Cricetulus griseus: one gene and its partners. The protein of the gene in region 2 interacts with the protein of the main gene of each other region in a biochemical or structural test. Links are inferred from orthologs where the notes say so. Each region holds a gene or a part of one and is shown on either strand. Other genes may lie near its edges.

Evidence for each region.
Region 1: the proteins of Clint1 (region 2) and Ap2b1 form a complex in vitro, tested with the Homo sapiens proteins (2 studies listed by BioGRID and IntAct, with this or other methods). The link is inferred for Cricetulus griseus from reciprocal best matches to the Homo sapiens genes CLINT1 and AP2B1.
Region 3: the proteins of Clint1 (region 2) and Cltc form a complex in vitro, tested with the Homo sapiens proteins (2 studies listed by BioGRID). The link is inferred for Cricetulus griseus from reciprocal best matches to the Homo sapiens genes CLINT1 and CLTC.

The regions. Positions count from the first base shown.
Region 1 is NC_048600.1:96,585,653-96,589,301, forward strand, and holds part of Ap2b1 (AP-2 complex subunit beta), read left to right. Parts: intron 1-671; coding exon 672-864; intron 865-3,649. UniProt on the Homo sapiens protein: Component of the adaptor protein complex 2 (AP-2). Adaptor protein complexes function in protein transport via transport vesicles in different membrane traffic pathways.
Region 2 is NC_048600.1:60,456,548-60,460,196, forward strand, and holds part of Clint1 (clathrin interactor 1), read left to right. Parts: intron 1-2,262; coding exon 2,263-2,549; intron 2,550-3,649. UniProt on the Homo sapiens protein: Binds to membranes enriched in phosphatidylinositol 4,5-bisphosphate (PtdIns(4,5)P2). May have a role in transport via clathrin-coated vesicles from the trans-Golgi network to endosomes. Stimulates clathrin assembly.
Region 3 is NC_048600.1:99,995,155-99,999,443, reverse strand, and holds the start of Cltc (clathrin heavy chain 1), read left to right. Parts: upstream 1-1,411; 5' UTR 1,412-1,585; coding exon 1,586-1,627; intron 1,628-4,289. UniProt on the Homo sapiens protein: Clathrin is the major protein of the polyhedral coat of coated pits and vesicles. Two different adapter protein complexes link the clathrin lattice either to the plasma membrane or to the trans-Golgi network.

The DNA of each region.
Region 1 (3,649 bases), about 36 Mb from region 2:
CACTATGTAAAGCCTATGCTTGATCTTAGATGTCTGGGTCTAGATCCCCTGCTCTTACCAACCACCTTCCCCTGATAAGTTACCTGAGATGTGTATATAAATTTCTTTCCAAGTTTATTCTCTAGTTCTGGCTGCCAATCACTTGTCTTTAGTTGACTGCTGGACATCTATAGTTATTTTTCTTAACACATAACAGAATTAAGCATCTTGAAGCTGTGGTTGTAGCTCGGTGGTAGAATGTGTTCTTAGCGAACAAAACCTGAGTGTCTTATTTTTTTTTTTTATCATCCTTCCAGATTCCCCTATTGGCAGCATCACTTATCTTTTCCTTAATGTTTGTTTATTGTCATTCTCCTTACCCCTCCATGTTCAGATCTTGTCAAAAGCTACTTAAGTTTTGTTTTTTTTTTAACATGTATTTATTTGTTGTGTGTACGTGTACATGTCTCACAGAGGACAACCTATGGGAGTCAATTCTCTCCTTCCACTGTGTGGATTTTGGGGATTAAACTTGATGGCAGGAACATTTACCTCCTGAGACATCTCAGCCATGTTTAATTCCTTAATTGCATTCTTAGTGTTTTGTGGTTGTACATGTGACATTTGCTTGCTGCTTTATTGTATAGGGGTGAAGATGGTTTTTCTTATTTCTCCTCTGTGTTTGATTACAGCACTGATGCAGGTGATAGCCCTGTTGGCACCACCACTGCAACCAACCTGGAACAGCCTCAGGTCATCCCCTCTCAAGGTGACCTCTTGGGGGATCTTTTAAATCTTGACCTGGGTCCCCCAGTGAACGTGCCACAAGTGTCCTCCATGCAGATGGGAGCCGTGGATCTTTTAGGAGGAGGACTGGATAGCCTGGTAAGCCTCTGCTTCTCTTTTGGTGTTTTTAGTTCTTGCTGGACTAGAGAACTTTATTTGGCTTTCCTTGGTGAACAGAAATGTCCTTTGTAAAGGACAGAATTATCTATCTTTAGAGACTTCATTACCATTCTGTTCATTATTGGGATGGAATATGTCTACATGTATACAGATTTATTATGTTGATCTGCTTATAAATAGAACTTCTGGTATTTAGTCAACATGTTATTTGGCTATCATAATTAATGATGTCCTTACCAGAGTTCATTATTTTTCCTACTTCTTAACTTCTTGTAAGTTGTCCTTTGGTCATGAGTATCATTAAAGTGGCTTAATAATGGTCACCATCTTTCAGGCCTTTAAACCTCTGCCTTGTTGGGTGTGGTGGTCTATACCTATAATCCCATCACTTGGGAGGAAAGGCAGGAGGATCAGAAGTTCAAGGTTAACCTTGGCTACAAAGTGAATTGGAGGCAAGCCTGAGTTACATGAGGTCCTGCTTCAATATGCACACACTTCCAAAAATAAATAAATAAAATAAATTAAAAAAAATATCTTCTGTCTTTTAAATAGTTATTGGTTTGTGCCTTTTCCAGCTCTGAAATGTTTTAAGGCAGTCATTTGAGCATTTTTGTCTAAAATGCACCTTTATTACAATTGAAAAGAACTGCTTGACTTTTCCCCTTCCTCTTCACTTCTGCCTTTGTCATACTTCCAATTTAATTAGCTTCCAGGATTCTAATAATAAAAGGTTCCAAAGTCCAGACTGTCTGTGGACATGGGCTACCAAGCCCATGTTGTCCAAGATGGAGAAATATCAAATGGCAACAGTCAGTGTCTGGGGAAAAGGCCAGGGAAATGATAGGTCACAAGGCTCCCTGCAAATCAGGTACTTAACCTTGGTGGACTTACAGAATAGGTGTCTGATACTCTGATGACTATCAAGATGCCTGACAAGTTGATGCATTTCCCAGCAACGTTGGAGGGCACACACTGTAGGTCAGAAATTTTCAGAGATGATAGAAACAGAACCACTTGTTCTCTTCTGTATATAATGCCGTTGTCTCTTAAGCTTCACGAAGACTGTGGTATTTGACTATAACATTTGGGCTTGACTGATTGTAGAACAGTATTGAGTCATCATTCTACATTGCTGTATGGTCTTTTAGAATCAAAGTAGACAAATAATTTAAGTATCATGGAGCTGCCCAGGAAATAAAAATAACTCTTGTTGTACTGATGTATCACTTATAGGTTGAATAATACATCCTCAGGTTTATGCTTTAACTTCCTACTGCTTTCCCTGGAGGGTTACTACGTGATGGATTCATTGAACCTATTCATTGACAATGGGTTTAGAGATTGAGGTGGAAAAGAGGCCCTGATTTTGATGTTTGCAGGTTCATAATTCTAATAGGTGGATGTATCCATAATACACAAAGATAAAACTCAGACTAAGTACTGATTCAGATAAAGAGGCTGTGGAAGGAGCTAAGGAGATGGTTAAGTCTTGAAGGGTAAGAACCTGAGTTTGGTTGCCAGCACCCACATATACAAAAACAAACAACAACAACAAAAAACAGGTAATAGTGGCACACATTTTAAGCCCAGTACTCAGAGGCAGAGACAGATGGATCCCTGGGGAATGCTGGCCAGCCATCATAGCCTAATTAGTGAGTGTAAAGGTTCTAAGAACTCACTTGAGGCTAGGCATAGTGGCCTTTAAGCCCAGCACTCAGGAGATAGAAGCAGGTGAGTTTGAGGCCAGCCTGTCTTCATAGGAAATTTCAGACCAGCTAGGGCTATAGTGTAAGACCCTTGTCTTTAAAAAAAAAAAAAAACAAAAAAAAAAAAAACAAAAACAAAATGTACATGGCACTTCTGTTTTCTTAGTTAATTAATTAAATGTATATGGGTGCTTTGTATTTTATGTCTGTGTACCACATGCATGCTTGGTGTCTTAGAGACACAAGAGGGCATCATATTTTTACTTTGGGCCCTTACTTTTACTTTGGATCTGTATGTAATTTAATGTATTCTTTTACAAGAGCATTAGAAGAGAAGCCCACATTTGGCAGTGTGGAAGATGAGCTTCTAAGGCATCAGTGAACTGTGAGACTTTAAAATTCCTGTTCCAGTTACCTAAAGAGGAAAATAATTCCAGTTTTCTTATAATCTGTATAAATAGTGCCATTTCTTAAATGAAACCTTGCCTTATAGTAGCATTTCATAAAACTATATAATGTATATACAAATCTTGTACCAGAGAGATCCTGATTTAGTTAGGCTCTGGTAAAACTTAGTAGTCTGTATTTGGGGTTTTGTTTTGGTTGGTTGTGTTTGTTTCTTTGTGTGTGTGTGTGTGTGTGTGTGTGTGTGTGTGTTGTGTTAGATGACAGCCTTGGGTGTTGGTCCTGGCCTTCCACCTTGTTTTTGAGGCAGGATTTTTTTATTGTTGTTAATTGTTTTTTTGTTGTTGTTGTTGTTATTGTTGACAGGTTCTTCATATGTAGCCTAAGCTAGCCTCAAATTGACAATCCTCCTGCCTCAGTATCCCTAGTGCTGGGATTGTAGGCATGTGCCACAAGACCCAACATTAGTGTTGGGTATTAACTCAACCTTACTCCATGGAGGTCAGTGTTATGCTGCTAATGAGTTTTGCCTGTAGGCTCCTTGCCTTGTTATGATTCTCATTCTAGTTGCATAATTAACTCCACCATATTTCTACTTTAAAATACAAGTACTATTTATATATAGCAATAAGAACAGTTAAATAAAATATCTG
Region 2 (3,649 bases):
GTGTAAGTTCATGGAGTAGTTAGGAAAAAATGCATAACATTGCGTGTAGGTTATTTTGACAGCCTCCTTCTATAAATTCCAAGTGTATCCCCCCCAAAGTAGTGCTGTTATGCAATTAACTGCTTCCTTCTGGAAGTGTGGCAGTACCTTTCCAAGGCTGGTACCTTACTGTGCCCATATCAGAGTGGAAGGGAAACATGGCCTAGGTGTACAGGCTCCCTGGGTAATCCTTGACATTTTTTGTGTATATGAAGTTGTCTGGGTATGCAAATAACTTGAATATGTTAGTTCAGTCTTCTCATATATCTCTATCCATACATGTGTGATTAATACAGCCTGATCACCACCGCACAGGGCCTGAACCCACAACAGTGATTAATCATTTTTGAATAGTGTCTGCACCATTTGAAATCTTGTCCTTGAATGATTAATCATCTCAGTGCTGAGTTTTCAGATGGGGCAGCATGCTTTGCCCACTTCCCCTCATATTCTGCTTAATGGATCCTGCAGATGGAAACCAGGGTAAAGTTTACATTCAATGAGCAGCCTTACTTAAATGGTTTTAAAACATCTAATAATCAAGGACTAACTGTAAAAATGGTTAGTACAAGATTAACAGCAGGTTATGGTAAAACCCTGAATAGAGAGTAGTAGCCCTGCTCTTACCTGAAACTCAGCAGAGCCTGGGGTTTCTCTCCTGAGGGTGCTGCATATTACTACAGTAATAGAGGAGTGCAATCTTCAAGACACCTTGTGACTGAGCTCTTCTGACACTTAGCATCCTGAGACAGTGCCGCTGTGGTGGTTACCTTTTAGGCTAGACATGTGCTTAAAACTCCAGATGATGGTCTGTAAGTGGCCATTTCTTCACAGAAACTTTATCAACTGCCACAGTCTTGTCCCTTCCTAAAGGATGGCTGTATTTACTTGGAGTCATATGTACCCTAATCGAAGTAATGTTTAAATGTTACTTGTTTGTATAATCAGTTATGTATGCAGCTTTTCCAGAACCGAGATGCAACAAGTCTGTGTGGTCCACTCATTTGAATTGTCCAAGTTAATCCAAAGTAACAAAGTAACAATATCAGACCTCAGATGATGTTGCATATGCCATTGCTCCATCTTTACAGAACAGATTGAAAATTCGGATCTAGAGGAGCCAGCTGAGTAGCTCAGGTTTAAAGTTGCTCTTTAATAGTCTGTCTCTGATGTGTAAGCTCTTAACTGGATCCTTTTCTAATGCTAACTTGAACTGTTAGCTTTCTGTCACTGAGAGGACAAATGAGAAGACTGCCTTAGAAGAAACTTACTTGGCTCACAGCTTCAGAGGCTCGGGGTCACCCGGTTCTTGCTGTGGACCTATGGTGGAAAGGCTAGTGTCCTTTGCGTGAAAGCAGAGGAGCTGCCAGGAAAGGGCCATGACAAAACATACCCTCCAAAGGCTACCCTTCCTCCAGCCAGGTCACCACCTCCTGATAGCCTACATGAACTCATCACTCATCGATAAACTTAGCCCAGTCATCATCCAGTTGCCTCTTGGTGCCATAAACTGCAGACCAATCCTTCAATACATGCCCACTTCAGATTACATTAAATTCAAACTAACATGAGTTCCCCTTGCTATTTATTGACCTAGACTGAGCAGTCAGCATGCTGGAGATCAGTCTAGGAGGTAGCGTTTGTGTATTCTGTGGAAACAAAAGCATAGTGAGAACTGCTAATAGGAATTTATTAAATGCCCACACTTTGTTTTATTAGCTTTTTATCCTTCATAATTTTTGTTTTGTTCTTAATAAATTTATCATGAACTTGGGGTTTCGACAATTATGTGGGTATTGATTGCAGCTGGATTTCTCTTTGAACCTTCTAAATAATGAGCAAAGATTGGGCTCTCTGACTTTGGAGTTGCCCTCACCCCCAGCAGGAAGTTAACCTGTATAGAATTTCCTCCCTTTTTGAGTCCCACGTGTTTAACTAATACCAACTTGGTTGGAGTCATTTCATGCCACTTTTTGTGTATTATGAGCAGAGCTTCCAAGAGATGGATTTTACTTTTAGAGTTCTAACTCTGTTTTCTTTGCCACCTTGTTAACACTCTTGTAATATTCATGAGGAAAGATAATGTCCAGATGGAGATGGGGCCGGCAGACACTAACCTGCATGGGCTCCTATCAACTTCAGTTAGTTGCAGTTCGTAGAGTTTGCATTTGCTCTGTGTACTTCAGAGTGCTTCTTACCCTGCCTGCTCTGTCTTGGTAACAGCAACAAGTGGGAATGGAGACTTTGGTGACTGGAGTGCCTTCAACCAAGCCCCATCAGGTCCTGTTGCTTCCAGTAGTGAGCTCTTTGGCAGTGCCCCACAGCCTGCAGTAGAACTCATCGGTGGCTCACAGCCAACTTTAGGCCCACCTCCTGCTGCCTCAAACTCTTCCGACCTATTTGATCTTATGGGCTCATCCCAGGCAACCATGACGTCTTCCCAGAGTATGAATTTCTCTCTGATGAGCACTAACACTGTGGGGCTCGGTTTGCCCATGTCAAGGTCACAGGTAAGTTGTCTGCTTTCCCTGAGAATTGTTATTACACCTGCTAAGATGTCTGATAGGATGATGGGTTAGCTAGTGTAAGACAAGGAACCCTCCTTCCATAGTTCACTGTGAACCTAAACACCATTAGATGGCACGTGACTGCATACATTTGGTAGAATCGTGTGTTCTAGAGGACAAGGCCTTGTTATCTACTTAGAGTCCTTAAAAGAACAGGCATGATGCCTGGCATAAAGATACATGCTGAAATCTGTTGGGTCACAAAAGCATTTGGGGGGAAGAGATGCATTGTTTGTCCCATGGAAAATAGTCACTAAGTCTTAATTCTGTCTTGAACAAAGCATCTCTGTACATGATTACTCATGTAAATCATTGCCTCAGTGATGAATCTTAGCCCCGTTCTGGGCCTGTTGTCAACCTTCATTTTCATAAAGGAAAATTAGTGAGAGTTTTACAACCACATGTTAAGAGTTAAATACAAATTGTATAACAATAGAATTTGAACAGACAGAGGTGTGAAAGTGTCTGAGTTGTACCCGGAACTTGCTAGTTTTGACTAGGTTACTGATGTTTCTGATGCTAATCACTCATTTTAATGTATATATCCTCATCTTTGCGGTACTGGGATGAAGGAGGGGAAGAAAGAAGCAGAAAGGTGACTGTGTGAAAGGGCCAGCAGCTTTCTTTCAGCCTCTGTTGTCTTTCTCTGACCCTTTGCCTGGTGGTTTTTCTCTCCCATTTCCTCTCCTTGTTTTTGTCCTTTTAAAATTTATCTTTAGTAGCCACCACGCACCTCTGCTTCTTTCTCCTGAATTTCTCCTTTGTCAGTCCATATGTATATGAGTGCCACTGGTAGTACTCACACGAGGCAGTAGAGGTGCACAAAGCTGGGAAACTCCAGCCAGGCCCTGTGAAGTAGACTTGCTGCTTGATGTCATGGGTTGTATAACATGAGCAGACAGGTCTGCTTTCTGTTATGTAAGGACATTTCTTCCTGTCCACCTTTAGTTGTGCTGACCTGGTTCTTTGCCACCTGCCCGGGTGCTGCTCTTTGGAGTCTTCTCAGTAAATCTGTTTTCCTCGGGGTTGGGGGCTATAGTAAC
Region 3 (4,289 bases), about 40 Mb from region 2:
TTCAGTCAGTCTAGGTTTGAAAGACAGTATTTGGGGTGGAAACACTAAAAGCAACTAAAATGACTAAGCAGATTTCTAAGCAAAACTGCTTACACAAAATAATTGTATACCTAGTGAGGTCTTATAGTGTTTAGGTGAAAGGGGCAATGAAAATAATTTTCTCAAGAACTTTCAAGGGAATAAAAAAAAAAAGATGAAAGGCACGGGATTGAATTCTATAATTCTTCCTTATATCGGTGTTATTGTGAAACATTACATCTTACGCTTTATCAAGGGCTCTGGGGCGGCTGCTAATCGCTAATGAACGCTGCAGATACCTTAACGCTGTGGGCAGCCACGGTGCTCCGGGTTTGAAGTGCTTGTATTGCCCACACTGCTACGACAGGCAATGGTCCTACTAACACGTATGACTAGCAGTCAATCCCTCCGCTCCGAGAAAGCCTTTGAGGATCCTTCCTCCAAGCCATCCCCTGATCTAAATAAGACTCATGATCTGACGTTGCTGGACCCTCCAAGTCTCGAAGGCCAAGCTGATGTCTACACTAGGTGGGTCTAAATCCACCAAAATGTCCGCGGGAGCGCTCTCCGGGGCCGGCCTCAAGACACTCCTCACATGGCCTTCCTTCACTGTCCTTTGAGGTGGTTTATCTGAGGAACTCGGAAGCCGGCCGGTTCTCCCGGCGTCAGCAGGGCGTGCGTCAGGGAATGGAGCTTGCAGCCCGGCGCGATCCCCCTCCCAGAGGTGTCAGCAACCACCCACTGCGTGAAACCGGGCGGGGGAGGCGCGCCGCAGCCAGCCGCCCGAAGAGCGCTGCGGCGCGGCCCTTTTCCTGAGTCACCCCGGCGCCCACGCCGCGGCCTCCTCCTCAGGCACTCGCTCTCCTCACGCCCCGGCCGCCTCGCCGGCAGGGGGTCCATCCGCCACCTCACCCCCAGAGGCCGCGGCCATCCCCTAACCCTCGCCCTCCGCTCTGGCAGCCGTCAACCGACCCTTCCCTGCCCGCATCACGTGCGCCTGGAAGTGCGTGGGTGGGTCCTACAGCGCCTACGGAAATGACGTCGGTCGCCCCGAGTCGCATGATGTGGCAAAATGTTAAAAAAAAAAAAAAAAAGAGTGGGGGGAGGGGAGGAGGTAGAAACCGGAGCCTGGGGAAAGTGATGAGTCTTAAAAAAGTAGTCCCTCGGCCCCTCTGTTTCCTCGCAGTCGCCGCCGCGAAGAGCGCTCCGCGCACTGCGTCCCTGAATTCCTACGCCCGACCGCGGCGCGGCGCTCGTGGAAGGCTACATAAGGCGGAGGGGGTGAGGAGGCTGGGCGGAGTTCTGCCCCGGGATCCTTCCGCAGGGCTCAGCCGTTTCCGGAGTCTGCGCTGCTCCCGGTTCCGCCATTGCGGCTCTCCCGGCCCCTGGAGCCTCCGCCCCCGACCCAAGCTCTTTCGTCTGCCTGCCAGTTTCCTGCGTCCCCGGAGAGTATCCTGCTGAGCCCAGCCTCCCCCCCTTCCCCTTCTCCTCCTCTCCCTTGGAGAGCCCGGGCAGGCACTGCCCCGTAGCCCAGTGACAGGAGGAGACCATACCCCCCGACAGCGCCATGGCCCAGATTCTGCCAATTCGTTTTCAGGAGCATCTCCAGGTGTGTGTGGGTCGGGGCTGCCGAGGGCCTTTTCGTGGGTAGAGGCAAAGAAGGAGCCGGCGGCCCGGCCCGAAAGGGATCGAGGGGAGGCGGGGGGGGGGGTTGGTATTTGGCGTTAGATAGAGGAAGGGACACTGTCTTAAAAGCTTAAAGGGTTAAGTGATATTAGACTAGGATGGAAATGACGAATCGGAGTGCAAAGGGCGGCGAGGCCAGGCCTTACGTCTGACGGCCTCTTATTCTGCTTCCTGAATTGCAAGAATTGCACATACTAGACTCGACTCCCTTCCCATTTCACTCAGTTCATTCATTTGGGTAGGGGGTATGTGGGAGAGATTCTCGCACGTTTCTTCCGGAGCGAGAATTCTCGTTAACCCTGGGCTGGTGCAGGGCTGTCACCTTCCCTTGGTTTATTCCCGTTTCCACACCTAGTCTGCACCCAGAAATTGTGTGTCGGGTGGGTTGGGGAGGAGCAACCTTTTTCATCCTCCCTCTGCAGTTCACAACTGAGAAAGGCACCTTGGGGTAGGGGTAGGCAGTGGCTTGTGTCTTGTCTTCCCTGAATCTATAAGGAACCGAACGAAGGTCACTCACTGCAGGAACAGAAAGAAGATAGAATAGAGGGGCGGCTAGGGGCGGTGTCAGCCTCTGGGTGCCTGGGGTCAAGGTCCCAAGGGGAACGCGCATATTTTTCCTTTCTTGGTTTCTTCGTAGGGTGGTGTAGCTCTTAGCGTCACTTGGATTCTAGAAGGCAGGGAGAGTTATTTAGAGGTTATTTGTGGCCTTTTGGAATCTAGCAGGTAGTACAGTCTCACAGGACTGTGTGGAATTCAGCAGAGCCTGGTAGTAAATGCATACCTGCTCTGAGTCAGTACCAGACCAGTTGATCTGTAACTGGCTTCTTTTTAGTAGGTTGGGCGACCCCCCCACCCCCAACTGTGCCTTATCCTGGAGTTAATACACCATTGTCTAACCTGGCAGCATGCCAACGGTTGGCCTAGGCAGGTGACCATTGGAGGGCTTCGCTGAATTAAGCTTCTTCCGAACTGCTGATTTTCCTGATTCACTTGTCCTGACTCTTTAACATTATTCATTCATATCAAGTTATCACCCCCAACCCCCCCCGCAAATATCCCTGTGAAGAAGCTTGCTTTCAGGTCTGACTTCTAAAGGGCTAATTTCTGAAGGAAGACGCAATGGTCCAATGCAAATAATTCATCTGTTTTGGCAATAAGACCACAATTTTGCAAAAGTCTGAAAAATGGCAATGCTGATCAAGAAGTGAATTTTTGTCCTCAGTTCAAACTTGTTTTGGGTCCCTCTGTTAAAAAACGAATATGAAGAGTTAGTGACTTCACATTGTTCCTGAATCCTAGTGGACAATGGGCTTGTCTGCAGTAAAGTGCACCAAAAATAACCTTTCTGCAAGCATGTTTATAAACCATACACAAGAGAAGCAAAGGCAGTTGCTAATCGTTTCACATGACCTGTGGTTTGTCCCTTGGTAAATCTTATTTGTTGGTCATTGGTGATTTGAGTAATAGGTTTTCATTTTTAATAAATAACAAGAATTGTTGAATGGTCCTACAGATTGGAATCCAAACTTGTCCCTAATTAAAATAAATTTAATGCAGGTGTGGCATGTGAGGAACAATTTCTGCAAATAATTGAAACTGTTTCCTTCTCAAATGTGAAGCTTTTGAATATTTACAAAATAGCTTTACAAGTATTCTTGAAGGTCTCTGACATTTATTTTTTGTAGGATCATATTCCACTTTAAGCTTATGCTTGGCTGGTAGGATTCCACTCCAGTAGATAGTGACCAATTGCACCAAAAGTCCCAAACACCATTCTCTTCCAGGATAATGTATCTCCTGACCTCAGGTTTTTAGCCCCTCTTTTAACGCATTATTGCAAGGGTTATTTCAGTTGTCATCTTAAGTCTTTGATTTCCAAGCCTCTGCCATTCTGCTTAGTAGAAAACAGTTTTCTAAAACACATAGAAGAACTGTAAATGAGGAACTAGAGAGTGTAGTGTTAACTTGTGAAACTTAACAGCAAACTCTTAAGTTTATGTTAAACTTTTCTTTAAATTTTATTTTTATTTTATGAACATTAGTGTTTTGCCTGTCCGTGTGAGGGTGTCAGGTCCCCTGGAACTGGAGTTTCAGGCAGTTGTAAGCTGCCATGTGGGTGCTTGGAATTGAATCTGGATCCTTTGGAAGAGCAATCATTGCTCTTAACCACTGAGCCATTTCTCCAGCCCCTATTTTAAGACTCCTGCAAATAAAATATTGCTATTTATTTCCATGATGTTCTGTCATTGAGGCTTGGAACAACAATCATATCACATAAATATTAATATTTTATGTGATGAAGGAATTTTTGTTAGAATTGCAGATCCTAAAGAAATTGTAGGTTGCAGAACTCAGAAAGTTCTATGCCATCCAACAAAACCCTATCTCAAAAAACAAAACCCCACTGCCTGAAATTCTCAATTCTTGGCATATTAAGCATCTTTACAATTCTTCTCTCATCCTGTTGAACACTTGAGCACTTTTAGTTTTCCATTACAAATCTCCCCACCCTGATCTTCTCCCTTTGATCCATAAATGCAATTATGCAATATGTTGCTGAGCTGAATAGTAGGATTCTTGCTAAG